Linked DNA regions of Tamandua tetradactyla. The protein of the gene in region 4 purifies or fractionates together with the protein of the main gene of each other region. This does not show direct contact. Links are inferred from orthologs where the notes say so. Each region holds a gene or a part of one and is shown on either strand. Other genes may lie near its edges.

Region 1 (7,797 bases), on a different chromosome or scaffold from region 4:
AATTGGCTCTTCAACAAATGGTATTGGGACAACTGGATATCCACATGCAAAAGAATGAAGTTAGACCCCTACCCTTATACCATATACAAAAATTAACTCAAAATGGATCAAAGGCCTAAATCTAAAAGTTAAAAACTAAAAAACTCTTAGAAAATAGCAGAGGGGCAAATCGTCATGACCTGGGATTAGGCAGTGGATTTTCAGATATGACCCCAAATGTGTGAGCAACAAAAGTTAAAAAAGATAAACCAGACTTCATCAAAATTAAACCTTTTGTGCATCAAAGGACATTATCAAGAAATTGAAAAAAACAACCTATAAAATGGGAGAAATATTTGGAAACCATATAACTGATAAGGGTTTTATATATATATATATATATATATATACACACACACTCACACATAAACATACAAACACATATATATATACATGTATTCATTTCTGTTTCAAAGCAGAGCTGTAGATATGCTTTTCAAAAGTTATAGTGACAGGTACAAGGCCCTCCTGCGGTGTAGCTGAAAACCAGCTACTTCAGGAAATATGTTTACAAATTCCGAACTCCCTACCTTTGGAGATAACATTTCCATCTGTACTGGTTTCACAGAAGCTGTAGGTTTTAGTTGTTTGTTGACATTTGCCGTTTTGATGGTTCGCACTGGTACTTTGGTGTTCTGAGCTTTCTGGAAAGAAACAGAAATGTAAAGAGGACAAACCAACCAGTACTGCCTCTAAGTGCCCTTGCACACAAGCCACAGACTTCATGGTTGTTACCTTGGCTATCTGTGCTGTTCTGGTTGTAACTCTATTTCCGATTTCTTCTAAAACTGCCCGCCTAATGGTCACATGGCTCTTAGCTTTGGGGTTAACTCCTTTGTCAATATTCTCCAAATCACTGGATACCTATGAAAAAAAAATCAATAAAGAGTTGAGAATTTAGAGTACTTTGCTAATGTCAGATACTAAAATTCAGAATTGCTTTGGGAAAGGTAAATATGCTGAGATGTGTGAGAGGGAAAAGATACATTTTTAGGGAATACAGAAATGCTATTTATGATTGATAACATCACTCTAAGCTAAGCAAATTGCTCATCCAATGTATTTAAAATAAAGATAAAGCAGACTGTAAGAAGCTTGAAAGCTTCACTGATAAGCGATTATCTCTCATGTAGCACCCATCATTTAGAGATTATTATAAATCAAAGGCATCTATTTTTAAACATTTCTTTACAGTGACTGATAACAAATATAATTAGGACACAATATTTAAAAGCTATAATAGGGCTGGCTGATTTTTAGAAAGCAGAGGTTTAAAACCTAACCTAGCTTTGATTCTCATGCCACTGTAAAAATAAGAAGTGTCTGTTCTTTGACATGATGTTAGAGATACAGTGCTTTTTAAAATGAAGTTGCTATAGCATGCTCTCTCATATTAAGAATACTTAGAAAGAAAATAGGTTTTGGGGGTAACAAAGTTTTGTCTCACAGTTTTGTCTCAAATTTAAGGAAGGTTGAATTGTATGAAGTAAAAATCATTATTTAATCTTAATTGAACATTTCAGGAGACAGAGTAGTATGTTCTGAGAGTTTCAGGCTCACAATCCTAAGAAAGTTCCCAACCAGGGGTTTGAGTGGAGCTACCAGGATACCACTTGGTAAGATAGGAGAGACAGAGGCCCAGAAGAAAACCCAAGTCTTCTTGAACAGAAAAAAATTTGACTAGTAAAGAACATGGTGGGGAGAGGGGGGGATAAAAAAAAAATTACTTGTCCATTCAACTTAGATTCATGATGGGATGAACTGAATGTTGAAAGTATTCAACACATTACGATTCGCAAAATTCCCATGTTCAATTTTTCCAGAGCAACTGTCAACTTTAAAAACAACAACAACAAAGTTGGGTAATGCTGATGGGTTGAAGCCTGGTAATGTGCCTAAGTTAAAATTCATCTGGAAGGAAAAATTGGCAGCTTTTAACTAGCATTTCAGTCAGGACAATGGAACTCAGGTGGGTCAGGCCCTCATGTTTTCAGCAAAGGAAAAGTAGGTCCAGGTACAGGACAAACATCTGAAACAACCTAACACTGTGATTTCTGCAAAGGTGAAATAAAGGAATTTGAACCCTTCTCTCCCGGTATGCCATACTGATCCAAATTATAGGCAAACTTTGTATTACATTGAAGTAAAAAAATAAATAAATTAAGGACAAACATTAGTGAGCTTAGCTTACAAGACTTACTGCGCAGTAATAAATGGGAAGCTCAGACAAAGAGAAATGGGGGTGAGAGGGTGGGGCAGGCCATGGCAGTTGCTAGATCCAACATTCAGAATTTCTTCCGGTTTTTCCTCCCGCACCCACCACAGATCCCTTAACAAGCAGAGTTATGAAAGAAGGAGGAGGAAATCCCACGAACCTCCATTTGGATAGCGCTTTAACAACAATGGGCACTTGGGACTCGCCCTCCGTGTACAAGGAAGGTCCAGAGCTCTGGGGTCTGGGGGCTCATTGACAGGTACATCCCCGAAGCGCTTTCCTACACCTCTCCCAGCCCAGGGCAGGGAGGGGCCCGACCAGGGAGAGGGAACCCGCAGAGGCCAACCGAGGCGCCGAGAGGCCGACCAGGGAGGACCGGCCACTGGGCCCGGAATGCAGAGGAAGCGAGGAGCCCCGGAGAGGCGAAAAGTAGCACTGGTTGGGATGACCAGACTCAAGGCCGAAAAGAGAGAGAAGCGAAAGGAGGGCGAGGGGACTGCAGGGCGGAAGCGGCCGGCCCGTGTGAAGGGGCAGCCGGGCCCACTCACCGTCGGGCGTCGGAGCAGCGCCATTAGGGACAGGGAAGGCAAGAGTGACAGCCGGGCCCAAGGAGGGACGCGGTCTGGAGAGGGAGGGCACAAGCCTCCGCGGCGCCGTTAGGTCAGCCCTTCCCACCCGCACCGCTGGCGATTTTCAGCGAGGTCGCCTTGTTCCAGGATTCAAATACCGCGCCGTTCGCGCCCCCATTGGGCGGCCCTACGTACGGCGCGCTCTTCTCATTGGCTAAGCCAGGAGGCATTCCCGCACACTGATTGGTTGGATTTCCCGTAACCTTTTTGGTTGTCACAACAACGAGTTCCCTCCCCCCCCTCCCGTTCTCGGTCTTTTTTTTTTTTCTTTCTTTCTTTTTTCTTTTTTTTTTTTTTAACCCAGGCGTCTAAGAAAAAGAAAAATATCTTATTGGGAAAGCAGACGTAGGAAGCCTTCCCTGAATTTTGACATGTCCTCGCCTATGGATGTTTCTCGTTTGTACTGGGTGGGCAGAAGTTGGTTCTAGAGAGTACCCTGGAAATGCCATTTCCGACCTTTATTCCCCGGCCGAAAAGGTCGAGTTGGAGTTGAGGTTGCGCCGGCTGAGGGCTGCGCGGTGTTAGATGGTGAGCCTCCAACGCGGGCTGAAGGAGTGGGAATTCTCTAAAACTGAGTTCCAAGGAGAGGCAAAACACAACAACAACAACAAAGGGTAACAGCGATTTGTGTGACGATTCTCCTTTGTGCTCCTGGCACCTAGCACAACAGCGGACAAATGGGCGGTGCTTAGTAAGTATTTGTTGGAAATCCGGTCAGTCCTATGACGAAAGACGGTTTTAAAAATAAGAAACAAGGTGTGACCCCCAACCTTGGAGAGAAGAGTGGATCCGCGACTGCAAAAAGAACTGGGATGTTTGCTTTGAAAGAGAGAAGAAGGAAGTGGGTGATGAAAGTCAAGACAGAACGAGAAAGAGGAAAGAGGAAGGGAATGGTAGAATGCCCACAGCACAGCAGTGAATGGAATGACTCGTGATATCAGGCTCAATCCACAAGTTTTCCCATCACTCCTATTTTATGACGCTGTTTAAAAATTATGGCCCACAAAAACAAAAAAATTAAAAATAAAATTATGGTTCACCTCTCAGTTACTCGGGTACAGATGATCAAGGTGGTAGGGTAAGGTTTAAATGACGATTTAAGAGACCACGGTTAAATACCTTCCTTGCCTCACCCGCTTTTGGCTTTAAGGCATCTGACATTTTTTAACCTGTTTCCTCTTCTGTAAAACGGAAATACTTCTGGCTACTTTGTGGCACAGGAATATATTTAGTGATTCCACGTACTATAATAGGTCTGTTTTAGGGCACCGGGATTGTGAGTAAAATCATTGTATGTTTGCCTTTGTTACATTGTAGTGTTAGCAAAAGATACAACATAAAACTAACAACCCTTGGCAATTCCCAGGACTTTGAAGACAGAAATGTTAGGAAGAGTGAAGTGCTTTTATTAACTGACTCTAGAAAGATTACTAGATATTGTCAAAATCTAGTGATTTAATCCATATTATCAGGAGATATCTTTATTAAAAGATAGGGGAAAGATTTGTTGTTTTGTATTCCTTAGTGCAATTACCCCGACACTTACACCAACTCTTTTTTTCAACCTCTTAATGCATTGTAGTCTTCTGGTATTTTTACTTTCTATTTCCTCCTGTCTTAAATGACAGTTATCGATCACATGTCCTATGTACTAATTTACATAAACTTTCTCATTGAATCTTCATAAAAATTCTTACAAAGTAGGACTATTATCTCAGTTGAACAGATGAAGAAATGTAAGCTGGGAACAGTTAACATGTCTCTGATAATACTACTTTTTAAAAAATATTTTTATCGTGAAATCTTCACACATATATATACAGTCCATACATGGTATACAATCAATGGCTCACAATATTATCACGTAGTTGTATACTCATCACCATGATCATTTTAGAACCTTTGCATCACTCCAGAAAAAGAAATAAAAAGAGAAAAAAAAAAAAAACAACTCAGACATCCCATACCCCTTACCTTTCCCTGTCATTGACGACCAGTATTTCCATCTACCCCATTTTTTACCATTTATCCACCCCCTATTATTTATTTATTTATTATCCTTATTTTTTTTTTACTCTTCTGTCCATACCCTAGATAAAAGGAGCGTCAGACACAAGATTTTCACAGCCACACAATTACATGGTTAAAAGTATGTCATTATATTTGTCTTCAAAAATCAAGGCTACTGGAACACAGCTCAACAGTTTCAAGTGCTTCCCTATAACCACTCCAATATACCATAAACTGAAAAGGGGATTTCTATATAATGCATAAGAACAACCTCCAGGATAACCTCTCGATTCTGCTTGAAATCTCTCAACTATTGACAGTTTATTTTGTCTCATTTCTCTCTTAATCCTTTTGGTCAAGAAGGTTTTCTCAATCCCTTGATGCTGGGTCCGGCTCATCCCTGGAGTCACGTTCCACATTGCCAAGGAGATTTGCAGCCCTGGGAGTGATGACCCACATAGCGGGGGAACGCACTGAGTTCTCCTGCTGAGTTGGCTTAGAGAGAGAGGCCACAACTGAACAACAAAAAAGGTTTCTGGGGATGACTCTCAGGCATAATTATAATCAGCTTAGCCTACCCTTTGCAGGAGTAAATTTCATAGGGCAAACCCCATGATCGAGGGCTAAGCCTATTGATTTGGTTGTGCCCACTGCTTGCAAAAATATCAGGAATTCCCTAAATGGGGAAGTTGAATATTTCCTTCTTTCTCCCCAGTCCCCAAGGGGACTTTGCAAATACTTTTTTATTCTCTGCCCAAAATACTCTGGGATATATTGGAGCCTCACACTTACCTGCACAGACAAACAAGATCTCACACCCTATTCAAGATTCCATGTACTTCTGGTATTCAACTAAACTGACCATAAAAGTTAAATTAGGTAATGCGCAACCCAAAATACAAACTTTGCACCAAATAAACATCTTTCCCTTTGGTCTCACACAAAAGTACCATATCACCCTTTACCCTGAATTCTGATTTACCTTACTCCTATCCGGATCAGATTCATTCATATCTCTAGTCAAAGTCTGATCACTGTTTCAACTTTTTAAACAATTTCTGTGTTGGGTAATGGTGAGTTTCATAGCTTCTAATGGTGAGTTTCATAGCTTCCGAGCTCTAGCTCAGTGTCTCAAGTGTCACATAAATATCTGAAGTTTCTGTGAAAGACCATGTTATACACAAATAGCTCACTATCTCAGAATTTAGAAATAACAGTTGCAACTCGTGAATATATGTGACTGGTGTAAAAGCTTACAATCTAGGACCCTTTACAATAGGTCCCAACCTGATAACTTCTCAACTTCAGTACACCAAGTTTGTATATCATAACTAGTCCATATGACTGATGTATTATATTTTTTATTTTTTGCTTCTGTCATTTCATTCAATATACAGTCCTTAAGGTTCTTTCACCTAGTTGTATGCCTCACGGCTTCATTCCTTCTTCAGTGTTCAGTAGCCCATTGTATGTATATGCCACAGTTCCTCATTCCTACCCTCAGTCGTTGTACCCTTAGACCACTTCCATCCATTGTGGATCGAGAACATTGTCACCATAATCACCAGTGTGCAAATATCCATTCGTGTCCCCATACTCAGTTCCTCCAGGTATATACCTAGCAATGGGGTTGCAGGATCATATGGCAATCCCACCCCTAGCCTCCTGTGGAACCCCCACACTGCCCTCCAAGGGGCTGCACCTCTCAGCTTCCCTACCAACAGTGAATAGATGCATCTCTTTCTCCACATTTTCTTTAGCACTTGTTTCTCTCTGTTCATTTTTTGTTTTTCCTTTGTTTTGTTGTATTTTTGTTTTTTTTTTTCAACGCTCATGAACACTTTAGCTTTATTGGTGCAAAATTAAATTAATGATAATATACTGAATTTACAAAGACACATTTTAAAGACACTGGAAGCACAAAGGAAAGTATAGCTCCTCATTATAATGTTCCTGGAATGTTGCAAAAAAAAATTGACTATTGGTAAATCAATTTGTGTTTCAAATGCACTGGGAAGATAACTATAAAAGAAATGATTTTTAAAGTTCCTATGTAGAAAGAAGAATCTTCTTGTATCACAAATAATCATTGTAATGTTTTTCTGTTCAGTTGGGCTTTTCTTCCTGCAGTAAGTTTTTTTAAAAACTTTTTTTATCGTGTAATATAACATATATACAAAAATGCAATATAATTCAAAGTCCATTGTAACAAGTAGTTATACAACAGATTTCAAAGTTTAGTATAGGTTACAGTTCCATAATTTCAGTTTTTTCCTTCTAGCTGCTCCAAGATACTGGAGACTAAACGAAATAGCAGTATAATGATTCAGCAGTAATATTCATTTGTTAAATCCTGTCTTCTCTGTTATAACTCCTCCTCCTTTAAAATAAATTTTTATTGATAAATCTTCACTCACGTACATTCCCTATATGGTATACAAGCAATGGCTCACAATATCATTACATAGTTGTGTATTCATCATCATGATCATTTTTTAGAACATTTGTATCACTGCAGAAAAAGAAATAAAAAGAAAAAACCTCATATATGTACCCTATACCCCTCCCTCTCACTAACCACTAGCATTTCCATATACCCAATGTATTTTACCTTTAGTTCCCCTTATTATTTATTTATTCTTTATCTATCTATCTATCTATCTATCTATCTATCTATCTATCTATCTATATACAGGCTTTTTTTTTTTGCATGGGCAAGTAAAAAATTGAACCTGGGTCTCTGGCATGGCAGGCAAGAAGTCTGCATGCTGAGCCACTGTGGCCCACCCTACCCATATTTTTTTAATTATCTGTCAATACCCTGGATAAAAGGAGCATCAGACACAAGGTTTTCATGATTCCACACCCACATTGTAAAAGTTATATCTTTATACAGTCATCTTC
Region 2 (7,091 bases), on a different chromosome or scaffold from region 4:
AGCTGCCATGTGGGAGACTCGGGTTCAATTCCTGGCCCATGTACTTCCAAAAAAAACAAAAACAAATTTAACAAATGGTCCTGCAATAATGGGATACTCACATGGAAAAAGAATAAAATGTGACCCCAGCCACACAACATAAAAAAAAAGAAGAATGTCACACCCTATACAAAAGTTAATTCAAAATGGATCAAAGATCTAAACATTAGGTCTAAGACCATAAAACAGTTAGAGGAAAATGTAGGGAGATATCTTACGAAACTTAAAATTGGAGGCAGTTTTATGGACCTTAAACCTAAAGCAAGAGCACTGAGGAAGGAAATAAATAAATGGGAGCTCCTCAAAATTAAACACTTTTGTGCATCAAAGAACTTCATCAAGAAAGTAGAAAGACAGCCTACACAATGGGAGATAATATTTGGAAATGGCATATCAGATAAAGGTCTAGTATCCAGAATTTATAAAGAGATTGTTCAACTCAACAACAAAAAGACAGCCAACCCAATTACAAAATGGGAAAAAGACTTGAACAGACACCTACCAGAAGAGGAAATACAAATGGCCAAAAGGCACATGAAGAGATGCTCAGTGTCCCTGGCCATTAGAGAAATGCAAATCAAAACCACAATGAGATATCATCTCACACCCACCAGAATGGCCATTATCAACAAAACAGAAAATGACAAGTGCTGGAGAGGATGCGGAGAAAGAGGCACACTTATCAACTGTTGGTGGGAATGTCAAATGGTGCAACCACTGTGGAAGGCAGTTTGGCGGTTCCTCAAAAAGCTGAATATAGAATTGCCGTACGACCAAGCAATACCATTGCTGGGTATCTACTCAAAGGACTTAAGGGCAAAGACACAAACGGACATTTGCACACCAATGTTTATAGCAGCGTTATTTACAATTGCAAAGAGATGGAAACAGCCAAAATGTCCATCAACAGAAGAATGGCTAAACAAACTGTGGTATATACATACGATGGAATATTATGCAGCTTTAAGACAGGATAAACTTATGAAGCATGTAATAACATGGATGGACCTAGAGAACATTATGCTGAGTGAGTCCAGCCAAAAACTAAAGGACAAATACTGTATGGTCCCACTGACGTGAACGGACATTCGAGAATAAACTTGGAATATGTCATTGGTAACAGAGTCCAGCAGGAGGTAGAAACAGGGTAAGATAATGGGTAATTGGAGCTGAAGAGATACAGACTGTGCAACAGGACTAGATACAAAAACTCAAAAATGGACAACACAATAATACCTAATTGTAAAGTAATCATGTTAAAACACTGAATGAAGCTGCATCTGAGCTATAGGTTTAGTTAGTTTGTTTGTTTGTTCGTTTTTTTGTTTGTTTTTTTGTTTTTTTGTTTTTTGTTTTTTACTATTATTATTACTTTTATTTCTTTTCTCTATATTAACATTCTATATCTTTGTCTGGTGTGTCGCTAGTTCTTCTAAACCGATGCAAATGTACTAAGAAACGATGATCATGCATCTATGTGATGATGTTAAGAATTACTGATTGCATATGTAGAATGGTATGATTTCTAAATGTTGGGTTAATTTCTTTTTTTTTTCCGTTAATTAATAAAAATAAATAAATAAAATAAAATATGGTGCCTGGCAAAAAAAAAAAAAATGAGCACAACTCACTTGTTTTCTAGCAAAAAAAAAAAAAGAAGAAGAATGATAAACAAAGAACTAAAAAAAAAATTGCAAGGCATATGATAAAGAAAAAAATATGAAAAGAGTTAATAGTCTTGAAATGTAATCGGCACATATAAATCAATAAGAAAACAAGAAGTATCCCCATAAAAGAATGAGCAAAGGACATGAATAATTAATTTACATAAAAAGTATAAAGTCTAATAATGTCAAAATATATTTATTACTACTAATAACAAAGCTGCTTTTCATCTCTTCAGTTGGCAAAGACATTTTATAGATACCCTGGAATACCTTGTTTTATTGCACTTCACTTTATTGTACTTCACAGATACTCCGTTTTTTACAAATTGAAATTTGTGGCAATCCCATGTCAAGTGAGTCTATTGGTGACATTTTTCCAATGCCATGTGCTCGCTTTGCGTCTCTGTCACATTTTAGTTAAGGTATGCATATTGTTTTTTTAGACATAATACTTTTGCACACTTAATACACTATAGCTTAGTTTAAACATAACTTTTATATGCACTGGGAAACCAAAAAATTTATGACTCACTTTATTGCAATATTTGTCTCATTGCGGTGGTCTAGAACAGAACCCGCAATATCTCTTGAGGTATGCCTGCACCCAGTGTTGGTGAGAGTGGATTGGTTCAGCCTTTCAGGAGGGAAATTTGGTAATAAGAATTGTATCAAAAGCCTTAGCATGTTTCATAACCTTAGATTGAGAAATTCCACTTCTAGAAATTAATCCACTTCTAGAAATAATCATGAGTGTGCACAAAGATATTATTACAGAAATGTTTTAGTTTGGGTTTTTTTTCTAATAGGGAAGAAGGAGAAAGCTTAAATTTCCAACAATGCACATACCTGTTTGGTAAAACACATCATGATGCATTCACCCAGTGGAATTCTATGTGGCCATTAAAAATGATGCTTTTTACTTCTTACTGGCATGGAAAAGTGTTAATGGTAAATTTTAAATGAAAATATTAATTTACAAAGCAGTTTGTGATGATGCCATTTTTGTAAATCTGTGTGTATTTATTCCTAGAACAAAGATTATAAAAATAAACATTTTAAAGGATTATTTCTGGGCAGTGAAATTACAAGTGATTATTATTTATCTTCTAAATTTTCTACAATGCAAATGAATATTTCCATGATATGAAAAATACAACAAACTTTATTATATAGAAAAGAACAATTCACTGAGAAAATGCTTAGCATAGATAGAATATGCCTCTTCTATACAGTGTCATATCTCTAATAACTCACTTCCTCAGTGTTTCCTAAGTGTGAGGGTCCCCAGGAAAGGCAGGGATCCCCAAGAACTTCTCTCATTTGGAGCATTACTGGGGGCCTGTGGTTTGCCTCTTGGTCCTGTGGAATCCAGCTTGGGAGAACACAACAAAGTATCCCAGGTTTGGGAGGTGGAAAAGAAATGGCAACTGTCAGGTTTTATAAAGTCTGAACCAAAAACTCCCTCGGTGAGGATCTGTTTCCTCTGCCCACGTTTTCCCCAAAAGGGAAATTAACTAAGGTTGAGTATGAGGGCTTGTCCAAGGCCACACAGCCAACTTAATGACAAGTGAGACCTTGAATCGAAGTCTTTCCACCCTGTTGTGTTTTTGTAATGAGCTGATTCAGACCAACTTTCTCTCACTTCACTCGGTATAGGAATTACCTGGGGATTTTGTTAAAATGCAAGTTCTGATTCAGTAGGGCAGAGGTGGGGGCTGAGAGTCTGCATTTTATCTAGTTCCCAGGTGATTTGCTACTGCTGCTACTGTTACTGCTGCTCTGGGGACCAAAGCGTGAGCAGCAGTGGTGCAGAGCAGATTCTGGAGTCAGAGGGCCAGCTTTCCAACCTTAGCTCTGTCACAGACTGACTGTATGACTTGATAACTTCTCTGTGTCTCAGTTTTCTAATCTATAAGTGTACTACCTTACAGTTTTTTTATGAAGATTTAATACGTTATTACATAAGTGCTTAAAACAGCGTTCAGTAAGAACTAGCTATTAGATTTCCTAGAGCATGCAGTCGGTGAGGTAGGGTTTGATGAATGAATACATGAATGAATGAGTAACCTTTGGAGAAAAGTTCTTTCATTGGCGATTAGAGTCGGAGAAGCAAAAAAGGAAGGCCCGGGTTGGTGGGAAAAGTCCCACCTCCCAGAAAGTTCTTTCCAGGAGGGCCCGGAAGTCAATGCGGCCGCCCAAGCGGGGGAGGGGCAAGAGCCCTGCCGGCCTTTCCTTCTGGGGCGCCGGCGGCCCCGCCTCTTGGAACGTTGCGACGACTGAGCATTCCTCGGTTGCTACATCGTCGCGAGGGGCGGGGCGCCTGTCAGGGAAGAGGCGCGCGCGCGCGCAAGCGGCGCGCGGGCTGGGGCTCCGCAGCTCACTGCCAGCGCCAGCGCCAGCGCCAGACCCGCGCCCCGCGCTCTTCTGCCGGCCGCTTGCGCTCTGGCTTACCAGCCCGCACTCCCGCCTCGCCTGCGTGCTGCCGGAGAATGGAGCTGCTGTGCTGCGAAGGCACCCGTCACGCGCCCCGGGCCGGGCCGGACCCGCGGCTTCTGGGGGACCAGCGTGTCCTGCAGAGCTTGCTCCGCCTGGAGGAGCGCTACGTGCCCCGCGCCTCCTACTTCCAGTGCGTTCAGAGGGAGATCAAGCCGCACATGCGGAAGATGCTGGCATACTGGATGCTGGAGGTATCTTCGGGACAGGCCCACCCCTCCCCCGCACCCCGGACTCCGGACATCCCGGGGCCGCCCTGTTGGGGCATCTCGGTCCCAACAACAATCAGCAAGATGCTTCGGCGACCCAGACCTCTGGGGCCTAGCGTTTCACTTGGGCACCTAGCTGACTACCTACGTGGTGTTCCCTTCCCTTCCTCAACTATGATCGATTCCTTCCGACACTGCCTTCCAGTCCCTTGGCACCCTAACCCTTCTGTCTTCGGGCCGGGAAAGCGGGACAAGGGCCATCCTCTCCCCTCCGGCCTTTTTCTGCTTCTCTCCCTCCCCCGCTTCTCAGGAGAGCGAGTCTGGAAAACTCAGGACACGTCCGCCCCCGCCCCAGAGCCGGTTCCTGTGTCTTGTCGCGGGGTTCTGGCGGGGAAGGCGGTGGGGGTGGTGCGCGCACTGTTCCGGCCGTCAGGGAAATGAAAAGTGGGGGAGTCGCCTCCCTTCCCTTTGGGTGTGTGCAGTGGGTGATGGTAATTGGGGGAAGGTCCTAGCTCCCCGGCTACCATGGGTGCCTCTTCCGTTCCCTCTCGCTGTGGGGGAGGGGATCCTCATTTTGGAATTATTGGAAAGAGACCGACTGAACGAAGGGCTCTCCTCTTGCCTCTCTCCTCGGGGGCTAGAAGGAGGAGGCCACGCAGAGGAAGCGGGGCGGGGGTCACCTTGTGGAGTGTGTATGTACTTTATCCCCCCGTCCATTTTTGCTCCCCATTCCACCAGCGCCCCTCCCCCATAGTGCTGCTGCCTTCCCCTCGTCCCTGCCCTAGAAGTGACTGTGCGCCCTCCCCCAGGTATGTGAGGAGCAGCGTTGTGAGGAGGAAGTCTTCCCCCTGGCCATGAACTACCTGGATCGCTACTTGTCCTGCGTCCCTACCTGTAAGGCGCAGTTGCAGCTCCTGGGTGCGGTCTGCATGCTGCTGGCCTCCAAACTGCGTGAGACCACGCCCCTGACCATCGAAAAACTGTGCATCTACACTGACCACTCCGTCTCTCCCCGCCAACTGCGGGTGGGTAACCTCCGCTCCCACCCCCTCTCCGGGTACCTTCCCAGGAAAAGGAAAGCAAAGACCTCTTTAGGAAGGGAGCAAAGTCTTTGAGGCAAACCGCGGCTAATTTTTGAAAGGAATCCCAGTGGCAAAGAGAGATGAGGCAGTGGATAATGGCTTGAGCTGTCAGCGTGAACAAACCCTCCTCCTCCTGACCTCCAGGGGGCGCCACTCTTTTCTGGTCTTTCCCCTAGATAGCAACGAATAAATGCGTGTCTTCAGACCCTAGTACTCTGCCTCTGGGTTTACACAGCCCCCGTGGGTTATTTATTGGCAGCAGAAAGGTATGCTTGCACACCACCGCTGGAGTGGGGGAGTGGAATGTGCTTCGGTGGCAGGGGGTGGGGGCGCTGCCTTGATACAGTCTTCATCCCTATGTGGGCTTTGTGATAGAAAAGCCTTCCAGAGCAGATTAAAGCCAGACCCTGATTGCTCTGAGGAGGGGCTGAGATGCTTCATGCCACCCTTTTTCCTTCCCCTTATATTCCAGAAAAGACTTCCTTCCTAACCCTCCATTCCGTGCCTTCATTCCGAGGAGCTTGAGCAGCTGCTTTGGGCCTGGTGGAAACATCTCCCCCTTTCCCCTTAGCCAGAGGCCTGGGCGGAGGGACAGACAGGGAGCTGAGTTGCAGCTGCTTCCGATGTGATAATGATGCCCCCTCCCCAGCCTGCTCACTCTGACCAAGCTCTTTCATAACCCTGTGGGGAGCTGCTGTCACCCCTGTGGTTTGGGAAGTGGCTCCCTGGGCCTCTTGCTGGGAACTTAGGTTGCACTCCTCCTAAGGCAAGGCAGGGGAGTCACCCCGTTTTTTCCTACTGAGCCTGGGGACAAGGAGAAGGAGCTGCTTGAACCTGGAAGAGGTTATTTAGGGTGTGTTGTAGATCATTTCCTGGGGGGCTTCGAGGAGAGGGTGGGTGAGCTGGCACCATCCTCCTCCTTGCTCCTGGCCTCCCAAGTCTCCTGACCCTGAGAGAAGTCTCTGGGCCCCATCTCCCAGGGAGGAGGGCAGCATGCAGGCTGCTGTGATTGGCTGGCTGGGAAGCCAGGGTACTGGGGCCTCTGACTGCTGTGAGTTTGTGAGTCGAGGAACAGGATTCTTCCTGCCAAGTAGCTCTCAGAGATGGGAGTAGGAGGCCAGAGTCAGGAATCTGGGAGGCCCCACAGCTCTTTGTGATGAATCTGGTAGTTTTTGGCAAGTCTGGAGGTGGAGCTGGTTTCCAGGGCCAGCAAGCAAGATGTTTGGAGGGCTTGGACTGGAAGGTAGAAGACTTCCTTTCGTGAGAAGTCTGGGATGGTGCGTATGTTTCTGTGAGCGGAGTTTTTCAGAACCGTCAAAAAGCACTCTTGCCTCATTCCCTCTGAGCTGGTGGTGGAGTATGCAGACAACTTCCTAGAAGGTTAGTGTTGGAAGGGACCTCAGAGAACTCCAGTCAGTCCAAATCCTTGTGCAGCAGAAAAGGTAGGAGGTCCAGAGGAGGGAATTGTTCTGCCTCAGCATTGCTTTGAAGTGGGTGAGTTTAGAATCTGGGTTTTTCTAGCTACACCAGTTGCCTGGAAGGCTAGGATATAAGGGAAGCTGCCAGCCACTGCAGCTATGTGCTCCCAGGGCTATGTTCTC
Region 3 (6,963 bases), on a different chromosome or scaffold from region 4:
TTGAAAGTCACCCATGAAACCTCAAGTTTAGAAACCCTGGTTTAGTGTTATTGAGAAACAAGGTCAGATGGTCATCTCTACTTCTACCCCTCTTGAAAACTTTTCATTACCAGGATTTGACTGCTTGAGTCCACCTTGGACAAACTAGCTTGATATGAAAAATGTGTTATTTCTTGACTATTTCACAGTAGTTTAACTAAAAAAAATTTTAAAGATAATTTTAATTACAACAAACTAGAAATCTAAAAAATTAGTTATTTAAATTAGATATAATGTTAAAAAAATCAAGTAATAATTCAAGGATATTTTTTATTCCTTTGAAGTCTTATGGTTCATTAGTGGCAACTAAAACTTACGAGATTTCAAAATTGTTCATAGCAGGTATTAAGCAAGCATGTTTTAAAAACCATGTCTGTTATATACACCATAATAAATGCTTTAGGTCTAAATAGCTAATATAAAAAAAGAAACACATTCCACAAATAAATGAGCAATTCCCTTCAAGTGCCACAGAACAATCTTAAAAACGTGAGACTGAAAAGCCTATCAAAAATAAGTTTTCAATTATTTTGGTTAAAAATGCAAAGAACTTTCTCCCTATTTAGCTGTCAGTTTTTAAAAAGCTAAAATAGAAAAAGGATCAATCAAGTAACTCGTGAAAAGTTTCACTTTCAAGTACATTGTCCTTGCAGAATTCTCCTAGCTACAGTCATGTGAAAAATCACGTTTGGAATAGGAGCCTTTAAATACAATAGTTTTGCCATTATTAGAACTAGCGGTTATGTTCAAAATGACCTACCTATTCTTGAACTGTACTAATACAGACATGGCGGCTTTGTGGTCAACGCCAAGCACATTTAGTACCCCAAATCAAACAGCTTCCAAAACATTCTTTCCACAACAGCAGTGTCCCGCTCAAGATATACAACCAAGCAGTTAGTAAACAGCTATAGTGGGTGGGAAGAAACCACTAATGCTTTCTTTTCTCCTTGGGCCCTCAATCCTAAAATCCACTCACTGGATAGCACATTTGAGGGATTATCCAGCAAAGTTGTGACTCTACAAGTGACTACCAAAACATGTTCACTGCCACTTCAAACTAACTAGGCAGGCAGCGTACACACTGCCAGGTACCATCCAAAAATTAGAAAATCATAACCACTGCTTAATGATTATGATTACTTCACACCAGGTCAAAAAACAAGTCGCTACAAGGCAACAGACTGCTACTTAGGTGTATGGGCAATCGCCTGCTTCATTCAGTAGAAACACACCTCATTAAGGCCCGCCCTCCCTTGCTTCCCACTCGAACCGATTTGCAGCACTTCTAACTATAGCATACTGGAGCACGCACTCACCCCGCCCATACTCGGAGGAGGCTTTTAGACCAGCAGCCTTAAGTTCACCGCCCCGTTCTCTATGCAGCATGGCCTCGGCCTGTTCAGAGGTCCCGGCTCGGCAAATATTTCATGCTTCCTCTACCACACCACTTCCTCCCACCTCCCCAAACTGGGAGACATCGGGATGAAGGAGGATCAGGGCATCATACACTCTACAATGCCAGCAGTAAACGATTCCATCTCTTTACACTCTCATGTCGGAACAAGAAAGTACAACACGGAACCCCGCTCACAGAGCCGTGAAAAAAATTAATCTTTCCTACTTCTCATCCCACTCTGATAAAAGCCAGAAAGCTTTTGAGTTTCCTTGCAGGAGGAACAGGGACTCGGCAGCCCCTCCCTCGCCAGATCCCAAGCTCTCCACTGGAGCGGGCCACGTGATGCAGGCGGACGTTTCAATGCTGCTGCACTAAATATTTCTGGAAACTTCCACTCCTGATAATTTAGAGATGTTCCTGAAATCACCCCAACTTCTCTTCCACTCCCGCGCAGGGCCTCGCTCCACTACCACGCTCCTTGCCTTCTTCCACGGCCACCCGCACACGCGAGTGACCGAGCAGGCGCTCCCCTCCCGCGGCCGCCTCCCCGCCTGCATCCCCCAGCGGCAGAAGAGGCTCCATTCAATCGCAGGATCCTCTCTGGGCCCGGCGCGCCCCCGGCCCGCCGCCGCCGCCGCCGCCGCCTCCCAAGCTCGCCTCCCGCGGCCGCCGCCCGCCCCACGCCGGCCTCCTCCCGCCGGGCCACCGCCTCCCGCCCCTCGGCCCCGAAGACACAGTCGACTTACCGAGAGATTGAACCAACTGCTTCTTCCTTCCTTCTCGGGGAATTAGGGCGAGGGAAGGTGGGAAGGGGGAGAGGGGAGGAAATCAAGGTGGGTTTCTCAGTTTTCCCACCTTAAAAAAGGAAAAATTTTAAAAAGGAGAGGAAAATGGCAAAAAAAAAAAAAAAAGCTGAACAATATTTACTATTTCAGGGGCACCTCCCCCCAACACACACACACACACCCGCCCCCCCCCCCCAAAAAAGAAAGGGGATTAATCTGTGGAACAAATGCTCCCGCCCGGCCGGGGAGTGAGGGAAGGGGGAGGGGAACGGGGTCAAGTCCCAAAGATTCAGCCCCAGGGGGACCCTCCAGCCACAGGCAGCAGCGGGAGCGGCAGGAGTAGGGGGTGTAGAGTCCACACGGTCGGGGGGACGCTCTGCTGCCAGTTGCAGTCCGACTCCCCCCACCACCAAAATACGGCTCCCTCTCTCACGCGGCTCCGGCGCTGGGCCCCCCCACCCAGGCTCGCCTAAACTTTCCCCCCTTCTCCTGCTTCTCAGCGGCTGGTGGTTCCCCCCTCCCCCTCTGGGTGGTTGCACGGACTGCAGCAGCAAAGACGGGAACAGGCACCGCCGCCGGGGCTGTAGCTACTGTTGCTCTTGCTGATGCTGTAGCTCCCGCTGCTCCTGCCGCGGCCGCTGCAGCCGCTTCTCCCCCTCCTCCTAGTGCCTCAAACTCGGAACCGGTTGAAACCGGTTCAGACTGGGAGATTCCATCTCGGTTGAGTTTTCAGCCCATGGCGCCGCGGAGCGTTTGGAACCTGGGCCTCCGCCCCCAGCCCACCCGCCTATTGGTCGGTTCCAGCCACAGCCGCGCCATCATTCTAGCTCTCATTGGCCTGATCGCCCGTCAGTCCCACCTCAAGGCTCCATACGAGCCCGCCGCTTCGGCCCCCGCCTCTTTCCAGCAGCGATTTGCCCGCAGAGTGGGGGAGGGGAAGTGGGGCGGGTCGAAAGCGAGAGAGAAGGGGGGGTGGAGGAGGAGGTGGTGGGGCATAGAGCTGAGCCCAGCAGAGAAGGGAGAGAGCGACGCCGCGTGGAGGATTGGTTCAAGAGAGCTGTCAGTCAAATGCAACCCGCCCCCCAACTTCCCTTCCCCCTCCCGCGGCTCCCCCTCCCAGTTCTTTGCCCGCAGGCTCAGCCTTTCCGGCCCGTTCATTGGCTGGGCGCGTTTGGTGACGGAGAGGGTGGGGCGCAGCTCGGGAGCTGGTGGCTGCGCGAGTCTCCTCGCGGCGCGCGGCTCCGTTGGGTTGACTTCTCCCGGACCTGCGCCGACCCGCCCCCTCCGGCTCCCGCCAACCTGCGGGGGGCCTGGTCATGCGGGGATCTGACCCGCCTCTCGCATGCGGGCTACGCTCCCAAAACGGAGGGCACGCCTTTTTTAAATTTATTTTTTAAATCGGGAGGGGTGGGAAAAAAAGGTTAAAATTTTTTGTAAAAATCGGAGGCCGATTGTAGGCCCCGGACCACTTTAACCCACTTTAAGAGTGGGTTTGGGCCAGAGAGTTGAGGGTGAGAATAACCGTGAAAGAGGTCTGGATAAGGTGGGGCGTGTACCCCCTGCGCTTGGTAATCTCATTATCCTGAAAAAGATACCCGAGTAGTTCTTGGGCACGAGTCTCTTTAAATGTTAGCGCTATGTCTCTTCAGGCTGGAATTTGGCTGCTTCAACAACCAACCCTGCCTGGTTAGAAGTACATTCTAAAAACTAATTGTACCCCGGCAATTGGTTTAACAGCGTTTATTTTTGCTTGTTAAACTTGCATACCAACTGCCTCCCACCTGGTGTCCTTGATCTGCCCCCACTCTCCGTTTTTCTTTTCAGCTTAGATGCCCTTCACAACTTCATCATCATCAAATGGTATTTTCTATGAAAATTACACGCTCGTGGCCTTTCACGTGGTTACCTCTTGTTTGTCCTGAAGTGCCCTCCAAATCAGCTTTGCTAATTGTTCTTTGCTTGAGAACAGCCCACCAAAACTTTCACTGAGCCCGCTCTGCCACCAAGAGGTTGATAAATAGTTTATTAAACCAACGGAGTTTTCTTCAGTAAATGCAAACAATGAGCAATGGCTAATAGCACCACTTAAGAATGACTCCTGCCCCTCCACTACAGAAAACCCCAAAAACAACCCAACACTTAGATTTACCAAAATGATATTGGATGAGTTTCAGACATAGAGTGTTTATTCATTGTCTAAGGGAATCATATCAAATCGTAACAAATCTAATCCAGAGGATATGTAATATATGGTATAAGATATAATGTATGTGATATATACTGATCATTTGGAATACTTATGTTCTATTACCAGAAAAACTGGGACTGTCCTGTTTTAAAAATGTTCACCCTCCCACCATTTTAAGCTCTAGAACCAGGCCACAAGGTCCTGATTTTTGAGATTGGAAGCATAGTAGGAATAAAAACAGCTGGGAGTAAGACCTGGCTTTACTTGGAATGTGACCTTGGGCAAGTCACTTCACCTCTTTGGGCCTCAGTTTCCTTCTTCCCCATTTAATGAGGCTGACATTCTCCATGCCTCTCTCACAGAATTAGTGTTGAGAATCAAATGAAATAATGTTAGCAAGGGAACAGTGTAAATCATAAAGCACTTTGTGGATTGTAAAATTCAGATAGTCTCTGTTTACTATCCCCAACTTTAACCTTTTCATCCTATCTTTAAATCACACCCCAAGAGGTCATATCTGTCTGACCATAGTGAATCAGATGTAAATATTTGGTTCATCTTTTGCCTGGGGTTAGCTGAAGAGTTTGTGGCAGAAAATGGTACATTCAAAATAAATTTGTTGTCTAATTAACAACTACAAAAAGGACTGACTTGCATGCACCTTCCCAGGAGATGCTAAGCAAGCCAGAACCCAGAGTTATATTCTCTAGGAGCTAAGTGATGGCCCATAAACACTTAAAGAGGAAATCACAGCAAACAGGCTGAAAGCAAGGATCCTAGGTGCTAAGGACCAGCAGATGCCAGCCATGTGCCTTCTCAGCTAACAGGAGTGTTCTGGTTGGCATCAGCCTTTCGTGAATGAAGATAACTTCTTGTTGGTGCCTTAATTTGGGCATTTTCATGGACTTAGACTGTAAACCTGTAACTTTTTAAATTCCCTTTTTAAAAAGTCATTCCATTTCTGGTATATTGCATTCCAGCAGCTTAACAAACTAAAACATCATATAAAATATTTTGAATTAATAATAAATTAAAAACTTAAAAGTGAGTTAAAAAAACAAGAAAAAAAGAGAGTGGGGCAGATAATTGAGTTTGATCATATTTTCAGAATCAAAATCGAAACACGAGGTCTGACGTATTAATTGTCTAGTACTTTTTTCATTTGTTGGAAGCAAACAGATTTTGAACTTTAGAGTGAGATATGGATAGGGAAATGTATATAAACCATATTGAATGTGTATCTGGTATCTAGCAGGGTGTTAGGACTTTTTGTACAGTATTTCACTGAATTCTCACAGCAGTTTTGTGAGAGAGTTATTATTTTGTAGATTTTTCTCTTTCTCTGTCTCTCTCTAACATACTCTCTCCCCTGCCACTCCGACACACATATACCACCCCAAAGTGGTTGGATCACTATTAGAACTAAATTTCTGGTCTTTCTATTACTCAACATTGTCTCACAAAACAATAACATTGTTAGAAATAAGAGAAAGAGAAGTCCATAACTACAGTAAAAATTTAAAGTCCTCCTTCGTATACTTCCCCCAACCTTCTGACTCTCAGAGATAATCATTAACAGAATACCGTGCATACTTTGAGATATTTTCTAAGCATTTATAAACATATTTGCTTTGTGTTTTGTTCAACATATATGATGTCATACTACATATATTCAGTGACTTACTTTTTACTCAACAAGCCAGAATGTGTAAATCCACCTCATCCTTGTTAACAGCCTCATAGTCTTCCACCTTGTCTTGGTACTGTAACTGATTCAACCATTCCGCCGAGGCCTATAGGCTATTTCTGGTTTTCTCTCTTACAAATAATGCTGCAGCGAATATCTTGGTACATTTATCCTTGTGCACAAATGTCAATATAGTTCTAGGTTAAAGTCCTAAAAGTGGAATTATTGTTTCAGAAGGTACATATATTTGTTATTGTTATAAATATTGGAAGATGTTATCAATTTACATATCAAACAAAATGTGTGAACAGTGCCTGTTTATTTCACATAAAACCCATCGGTATTTGCTGTTTCCTAAACAGATGATCAGATCATAATACATATCTATAAGGAAGTTCTTTATAGTCACAAACAGAGTCTGATGATTCAAATGGGCAATCTTTGCATATACATTTGACCTTTGGGCTGTGAAAGCAACATCAATGACTCTGCATTCCTCAAGGAATATATAAATAATAATATTAAATGCACATGTAATGTAGTAAGAAAAATAAGGAAAAGATAAGCAATAAATCTATTACTTTAATAATGGCATTGGTCTTTTCACTGTTTTTGAGGAAATTAATACCACTTTTTTCTGAGGGATATAGTAGTGGCCTTCCAACATAGATTTCTTCCAACCAGAGATAAAAAGCAGGCACTTGAACTAAAAATACCATGAGTCTAACTAATCACATATTCGGGTATTGAGCTCAAATTGTATTTCACTGGGCTTTTTCTTCCAAGGAGTCTAACTTCATATGATCTGAAGGGATGCACTGGACAAAATGCTTCTCTGTAATATCTTATTAGGAGATAGTTTTTT
Region 4 (7,745 bases):
TCTAGTATTCCTGAATTGGCAATATTTATGGACAAATGCTTCTCTGTGTGCCAGTAGATCTGATTTACTGTGGTTTTGAAGAGCAAAGCTATCAGACCAGTAGAGCTTCAGGTATTAAGGGAATTTTTTTACAAACTTCCTCATTTCATATAGAACTGTAATATAAAGGTTCTATAGTGCTGTTTTGTATAAGCTCTAAAAAATATCACACGTATAAGGAGAAATCATATATATTACATTCCAAATTGCTTAAAAATAGAACAAACTTGATTCCCACTTAAATCCCTGTGTTTTTATTTTAAAATTTTTATAAATGATTTGAAACATTAATATCAACATTTATTCAGATATTTAAGTATAGTATATTTTTTGGGGGGAAAAAGATATCGGGGTCCTTGTCCTTAAAAAGTCTGTAAGCTATTAGAATATAAGTAATTTCATTATTATAAATCGCTATAATCTAAGAAAATTTGGTGCTGAATTATACAAATTAGCTATTTGCGTAGATCAGATTTTAGTAGACAGAATTCTCCCCTTCCCTTGTACTGGTTAAATCTATCCTCAGGAAGCCCTGGTATCTACTGTCCATTTCCCCTACAAATATCCAAATCGTTCTATTACAGCACGATTAGCATACGCATGCTGACGTGGTCATGGATTGCTTCTCTGGTAGAGTAAATTTAACTTCTGCTTCCCAACTTCAGTGCTACCACTGTAGTATAGTTTAGTATATTTGAGCGTTCCATTTTGGATTTTTTTTAAATATGCAGTTTCCTTCTCTCTCCCAAAAACTTGCAAGAAAACAGGAAAAGTGACAGTCTGTGAAAGTGACAAAAGATAAAAGATAGCAACATACCACCCTATTCACATTTCTAACCACTTGATTAACCAAATGGAGTTATTTGTACCTAATTCTTCCCTCAAATTTTAAATTTAATCATTTCTGTGTATGGCTTAGAATCTACTGAATCCTCCAGAACCTCTGAAATGAATTCTCATGAAGTGGGACTGAGGCTTACCCCAGTTTTGTTCAGATGGGGAAAGAACCTATTGTTCTCAGCATGTTTTGGTGGGGCTGACAGGGAAATGACATTCCTAGCAATGGGCCCTCACTACCACTGCTTGCCTGGGACACTTGTTCTAGTTCAGTGTATCAAGGGAAACGTTGAAGAATTACAGTATCCCCAGAGTGATTCCAAGCCTTCTTCATCCTACTTTTCTGATCTCACAAAATATAAACATCACAAAACCCCATAAGCTCCTAATCTGCCAGCAACCAGTCAGATCAGCTATCTTGGAGTCTGAAGGTCCACGGGTTCCTGCAGCCCAGTTTGGGTGTCAGTTATATGCCTTAGTGATCAACCCACCAAATGATTTACGTTTGACGTCTTCTGAGGCCCGGCTTCTTGGGCGTCTGCTCCACTGAACCAGCGTTCGGGGAACTGTCTGAAACATTTTCTTCTGTTCTGTTGGCTTTCTTGTTTTGAGGAGCAGAATCTAGGGGCAAGGAGGAATTTTAGGAAAACAAAACACAAACAAGCTTTGTTAGAAAAAAGCAATGGCTGACAAAAGTTGGCCCGTGAGTCAACTCGTGGAATGAAAAGCCCACCACCTCTACCCACAATCACCAGTGGCCTTTTAGTGCACAAAATAAAGTTGTTTTCACATAACAGAAAGTGAATTCTACGCCCCAAATCTCTCTCTGCCTAGCGGAGAGGGAGACCGTTGATAAACACCCACATTACTACAGCTGCCTAGCAGGGCGGGGGCGGGAACTGCGGTGAGAGAAATGCTCAGATACTACAATCTCCAGCTTCTGATTTAAACATCATAAACAAACAGTCAGGTAGCACGTACAAGCTAAGATTAATAAAGTTCACAACCAAAAGCTACAACAAAGTACACCGAAAAGAAAGAAAACTTTTAGGTAAAGACGTGGGCCACCACCGCCCCCCCCACCCCCGCCCCAACCAGGCAAAGCGGGGCCCCAGACAGACAGACAGACATTTTATTATTTTGAAAGGGTCATTACCGTCTGTTGCAGGTCGTTTCCTTATCCCATTGCACTGCTCCGCTAACCCCGTCTGGCTGTCTGCTGTATCAGTTTTTTGGTCTACCAAATGTGTGTCCTCTGAGTTTGCTGGGGACCCAATTAAAGGCACAGCCTGGCGGTTCCCGCTGACATCCTGGCTCTCCTGTGCGGGCACCTTGCAGGCGCCTTTGGGTGGCCGCGGGGGTCTGTAGTAAAACTCGGGCAAGTTGCTCTTTTCCACCTCTTGCCACTCGTATTTCCCCTCCAGGGGCTTGTGATTCTGAAAATCAAAATTCCACTTGCGCTGGCTTGCCTCTTCCATGTCTCTGCAGTGCTTCTCCAAGTCCCGGGTTAACTCTTCGTGATTCACGGGGCCGAAGAGGTTCCTGCAGGCGGAGGGCTTGGGGTACTCCGCCTGTCTGCCGTCCATCCGCTCCAGGCTCGGGCTCCCGTTAGACACTCGCACGTTTGACATTTTCCTCCCGGGTCTTTACTACCGCCTCTCTCGCGCTCTCAAAAAAACAAAACCGAACAAAACAAAACGCCCCGATCCAACCCAACCCCCTTTTATAAGCCCCGCGATGCCCTCCGAGCCAAGACCAACAAACACTAACAAGTAACTGCCCCGGCTTCAGGAGCGCACTGGGTCTGGGGGAGGGGGAAGGGGAAGCCCCGGAGAGGCAGTGCCGACAGTCTCCGCGGATCAAGTGTGCGGGCGAGCTGGAGGGCGGGGAGCGGAGGGGAGGAGGCAGGGGGAGGAGGTGGAAAAGCCAGTCCAAGTCCCGGCAGCAGCTAACCCGCCGGTCCCGCGAATCAAGCCGCTCTCCAAACCTTGCCGGCGTCAGAATCGCAGCGTGGCGAGAAAGTGGGGAGAGGGGAGGGGGAGAAAAACACCCCGAAAAGACGAGCCCCCTTTTTTTAGTGGCCCAATATGGCGGTGGAAGGGAGGCTGACGAAGAAGAAAATGATTGACACCGCAAGTCTATTTAAACAGAGGAAGAGATCCATTGGTTGCTACGCCGGGAGCCGCCCCGCCGAGGCTGGCGAGCGCGGCCTTAAGGTGGCCCAGGCGCGGTCTGGGCGCGCCGACTCGGAGAGTGCAGCAAGGAGATTGGCTGGTCGCGTGATTGCTGGAGGTGTACTGCTGCCAACAAACCTGCTCTGGCTGGCCCCGGAGAAATTAAAAATAAGACAAACAAACTAGCCAAACGGCCGGGAAGCTGGGGAGGGGCCTCGGCGGCAGGGCAGGCGGGGCCTGGGGTTCTGGTCCCGGCGCTGCGCAGTCTGGCCCGCTGCGGCTGGTAAAACCTGACTTCTAGCTCCTCGCTGTGAAGCGAAGGGGCTGGACCCGAAGGTCTCTAAGGGTGCTTGCAGATTGTGTTGAGCTTCGGTGGCGATCTTATTTTCCCAGCACTCGCCGACCCCGGGTGCGGGCGGTTGAGGGGCAGAGGCAGAGTGCGGGAGCGTTGGTCTGCTGATCTCTCACTAGTGCTCCCACCCCCGCCCCCCACTTCGCGGACTGCTGAGGAGGCCGGCAAACATTTACTAAGGGTTGGGAATACCACCACCACCACCTTCCCGCCTGAGTGTCTTAGTTGTGGAGTGAAGGTGGGCGGTGATTAGTTCATCCTTAATCCAGGAGTCTCTGTTATCCAAGGGGAGTCAGGGGGCTTAGGGTAGAAGTCAGGGCTGTCCGCTTTCTATAAATTAGCCGGGAGTAGGGACAGCATTTTTAATATATTCTGAACTCAAGCTTTCCTGCAATAAAAAAGAAAGGGTCCCGAGATCAAAAGCTGCACTGGTCCCCTAGGTTTCCCAAGTCCCTTAATAAACTTTGTAGCCATCTCAGATACATTTAGGTTTGAAAAGTGAGGTTATACTCCTGGCTCAAGTTCTTGTTTCCCAAGTACAGTTAAGGGTACTGACACTGGCTGCATGTGGGGACTCGTCTCCTTCTCTTTATACTTTATAATTCTTTCCCGGAATGTAGCAGTTTCCTCTACCTGTGTCCCGGCGCCAAACACAACAGCTCCTTCCTTCCTCCACCTTTCTCTCCCACCAGATTCACTGCTCCAACCCACCCAGAACATCAATCAGATGAGAGTGAACGCTTTTAAGGCGTTGCAAGCTGTTGAAAGGTGAACATATTCCCCTAAGGATCAATGTCCATCTTAGGAAGTTTGTTATAAAGCTACCTCAGGTCTGATGTTATTATTTGGGCATTTATTTTTCTGCTCTCCCTTGAAACTTGAAACTTAACCATCAGTTTGGTCTTGAGCAAGGCAGTGGAGGTTGAATCAGGATGGGCAGGTCTGTCATATCTCAGACATAACCCAATGAGTTTTTAACTGCCTCCCACCCCAGCTCCCAATACACACTATTTTAGTTTGGGTCAAAGTTAAGACATTTTACAGGAAATTTATTCACTGCAAATATTACACAGCAACAATATTTTCTCATGCCTTCATGCTAGATGAGTTTGCTCTTTAGCTTGCTTTCACAGCCACATCTTGTTTGTCCATTTTACATGTCTTCCTCATTGTATACACTCCAAAATGGTTGGAGCTGGGAAGATTGTCAGGACCCCGTGGTTCAACTCTCTTATTTGACCAGTGAGGAAATTGAGACTTGGAGAGGTTTCCTGTCCAGGGACACACATCCAGTTGGTACCAGAGTTAGGACTAGACAAGGTCTCCTAACTCTCAGTCTGGTTCATTTTCTGCTCCTTTCCTTTCTAATGATCCCCATTGGTTCACGTTTCCGTCTGAGTTCCCTTGTGCTGTAGCCTGCAAGTCCTCTTCTAGTACAAGTGATTCAAAATGGCTCCTTCCCAGGCCCTAGACTGCCTGCAGATGTTTCCATAATTTGGCTTATGGTCACGGATATTTTAATGCAGAGGACACTGGCCTTTGGCATCACTATCAACTACTTCAACTAAAGTGCACATTCCAAAAGGACACAGGTGCTATGCAGAAAGAGTGACAAAGACAGTGCCCAGAAGTGGTTTCAAAGTCAGGGCTTCCTACCTGACCAACAGAAAATAATTCAGCTGGGATCAAAGTAGGCATTCTCATCCTCTTTGTTTTTCTGCATTTAATGGCCCATTTAAAATATTGGATTGGGGATGGGTGAACAGGAAAGTTAGAACAGCCCTCATTACCAGGTAGTTTATACTTTACCCTTGAAATTAGATCATTCTTGCCCAATTTTTTAAAACATTTTTTATTGTGAAATATACCATATATACAAAAAAGTGGTAAATTGCAAAGCATATTTTAACAAGAAGTTAGAGAACAAATTTCTATGTATGATATGGGAGTTGGGGTAGGGGGAGACAGTTAATGACTCATTGAGTTATGTCTGAGATATGACAGACCTGCCCATCCTGATTTAACTTCCACCGCCTTGCTCAAGACCAAACTGATGGTTAAGTTTCAAGTTTCAAGGGAGAGCAGAAAAATAAATGCCCAAATAATAAAATCAGACATGAGGACATAGTAGCTTTATAACAAACTTCCTAAGATGGACATTGATCCTTAGGGGAATATTTTCACCTTTCAATTGAAATTTCACCTTAGAGCAGTCTCCTAGCTGCTCTAAGACAGTGGAGACTAAAAAGAAATACCAATATAATGAGTCAGTAGTCATATTCATTGGTTAAATCCTGTCTTCTTTATTAGAACTCCTCCTTCTCCCTTGATCCTTCTCCCACTCTTTAGGGATATTTAGGTAATGACCATTCTAACTTCTCCATGTTGAAAAGGGGTGTCAATATTATGGGGTAGGGGAATGCAACATGTTGGAACTCTTGTAGACACTGGTAACTCTGGGTTTCAGAGTTTCTGCTTGTCCAAATTTTTAAATATTTTCTAGACTACACAGGAATTCTATATTATATGTGTGCATGTGTGTAAATATGCACAAATACACAAACTACCAGATGTAAGTCAATGGAGAAATTCTTGAGTATTACCTTACACAGAAGTTTGATGTTATTCATGTAAAAACGTAAGTGGAATTACACAAAATTCCACTTGTATAACAGTGGAAGAGTAACACTTTTATCCCCTACACAATTTTTCTTCGATTAATAGGTAGGAACACCATTTTGTTGCTTTGCTAAACTTGAAAACTAAATGAATCAGTCACGCCACCTTAAGAAGTCTGGCTGCCAGCAGAAAGGCTGTGCTTATGACCTTGCTATGATCTAAAGTGTTTTGTTTACAGTCAAGTCACCGGAGATCTGTACAGCAAATAATGAGAAAGCAGGCGTCTGCTGTAGTAGCGACGAAGCGTGAAAAAATACTATGGAGTCCCCGAGGGAAGAGGGAACGTGGAGATCAGAGCACCATCCTCCTGTGGAAAGTATTCAGCTGCAGGCTAGGCTAGTAAACCAGGGAGAAATGTTCAGATAAACAGTACAAAGGCGGAGCCTGAGTAGAGGACAGAAAGTTCTGCTCTGCGGGCGCTGCTCTAAAATGGGCTCTGCTTCCCCAAGACTCAGAACCTAGTTTGTTGTTTTCACTCCTGTTGGTTTCATACTTAGAGCTGAGAAGTGTCACGTAGGCCACCCCAGAGTTCTGTATCTTTCGCAAGTTGCTAGAGGCAAAGACCAAACAACTTAAAAGAAAGCACCTGCCTAGTAGACAAGTATCCACATGGTGTGGGCGGGCAGCGCGGGTGTTCGCAGATGCAGTCCTCTCTCCCCAATGCTATACAGCCGCAAGCCGTTCTCCCAAGGTGCACAGTGTCTTGCCCAGTTGCCTCTCCCGGTGCAAATACACATTTATTTTTTTACCCTTCCTCGAGGGCTTTTTTAACAAGGTAGCATTAACTCACCCTCACCATTCCCCCAAACTGTTTTGTTTTTAAAGAGATCAGAATTTCAGTCACCTTTTCTGACAGCTTTTTAAATTCGATTTAACAAATATTTATTAAATACCTACTATGTGCCAGACAGTATCCTGGGCTCTGGGGATACAGAAGTATCTCATTCGTACAGATAAAAACTTGAATGACGCTAACATGCTAGAGTGGGGAGGGGAGGGCACAAAATGAGTAAAATATACACTGTGTAAGAAGGTGATACATACTATGAGGAAACATCAAACCGGGGAGAGGAAAAGAGAGTGCTGTCAGGGTGGCGATGTGAATAGAATGGTCCGGGAAGGCCTCACTGAGAAAATGGTCTTTGAGGGAAGCCCGGAAGGATATGAGAAAGCAAGTCATGCAGATATCTGGGGAAAGAGTGTCCCCATAAAGAGAACAGCAATAAGGTAGGATCTTGCCTGGTGTATTTGAAGAACAGTAAGGAGGCCCAAGTAGTGGAGAGGGTTGAGCAAGGTTGGACTGCTAGACCTCTGTAGGGTTTTTGTTTGTTTGTTTGTTTGTTTTTAACATGGGCAGCCACAGGGAATCGAACCCGGGTCCTCGGGCATGGCAGGCAAGCACTCTTACCTGCTGAGCCACTGTGGCCTACCCTCTGTAGGGTTTTTATCATTGACTCTTAGTGATATGGGAAGCCACTGGGCATTGGGAGGTTTTGAGCAATGGAATGATGTGATCTTACCGTGTGTAAGATCTTTTCCCCAGGCGTTACTTTCAGCAGTGTGGAGACAGAAGAGGTGACTAAGTTACAGTCCCTGACTTCAGAGAGTGTAGGCCCTGGATGGGAAGAAGGCCATGTGCACAAAAACTACAGGGGCTGGAAGCA

The links.
Region 1: the proteins of CDKN1B (region 4) and CCNB2 purify together in Homo sapiens (affinity purification with mass spectrometry; 3 studies listed by BioGRID and IntAct, with this or other methods). This does not show direct contact. The link is inferred for Tamandua tetradactyla from reciprocal best matches to the Homo sapiens genes CDKN1B and CCNB2.
Region 2: the proteins of CDKN1B (region 4) and CCND3 purify together in Homo sapiens (affinity purification with western blotting; 9 studies listed by BioGRID and IntAct, counting the BioPlex papers as one, with this or other methods). This does not show direct contact. The link is inferred for Tamandua tetradactyla from reciprocal best matches to the Homo sapiens genes CDKN1B and CCND3.
Region 3: the proteins of CDKN1B (region 4) and XPO1 purify together in Homo sapiens (affinity purification with western blotting; 4 studies listed by BioGRID). This does not show direct contact. The link is inferred for Tamandua tetradactyla from reciprocal best matches to the Homo sapiens genes CDKN1B and XPO1.

Annotation. Positions count from the first base shown.
Region 1 is NC_135340.1:74,930,723-74,938,519, reverse strand, and holds the start of CCNB2 (G2/mitotic-specific cyclin-B2), read right to left. Parts: upstream 3,015-7,797; 5' UTR 2,827-3,014; coding exon 2,803-2,826; intron 904-2,802; coding exon 775-903; intron 684-774; coding exon 570-683; intron 1-569. UniProt on the Homo sapiens protein: Essential for the control of the cell cycle at the G2/M (mitosis) transition.
Region 2 is NC_135331.1:99,536,410-99,543,500, reverse strand, and holds the start of CCND3 (G1/S-specific cyclin-D3), read left to right. Parts: upstream 1-4,075; 5' UTR 4,076-4,195; coding exon 4,196-4,393; intron 4,394-5,217; coding exon 5,218-5,433; intron 5,434-7,091. UniProt on the Homo sapiens protein: Regulatory component of the cyclin D3-CDK4 (DC) complex that phosphorylates and inhibits members of the retinoblastoma (RB) protein family including RB1 and regulates the cell-cycle during G(1)/S transition.
Region 3 is NC_135343.1:34,217,796-34,224,758, forward strand, and holds the start of XPO1 (exportin-1), read right to left. Parts: upstream 3,007-6,963; 5' UTR 2,185-3,006; intron 1-2,184. UniProt on the Homo sapiens protein: Mediates the nuclear export of cellular proteins (cargos) bearing a leucine-rich nuclear export signal (NES) and of RNAs.
Region 4 is NC_135333.1:75,264,088-75,271,832, reverse strand, and holds the start of CDKN1B (cyclin-dependent kinase inhibitor 1B), read right to left. Parts: upstream 3,016-7,745; 5' UTR 2,508-3,015; coding exon 2,033-2,507; intron 1,498-2,032; coding exon 1,376-1,497; 3' UTR 1,368-1,375; intron 1-1,367. UniProt on the Homo sapiens protein: Important regulator of cell cycle progression. Inhibits the kinase activity of CDK2 bound to cyclin A, but has little inhibitory activity on CDK2 bound to SPDYA. Involved in G1 arrest. Potent inhibitor of cyclin E- and cyclin A-CDK2 complexes.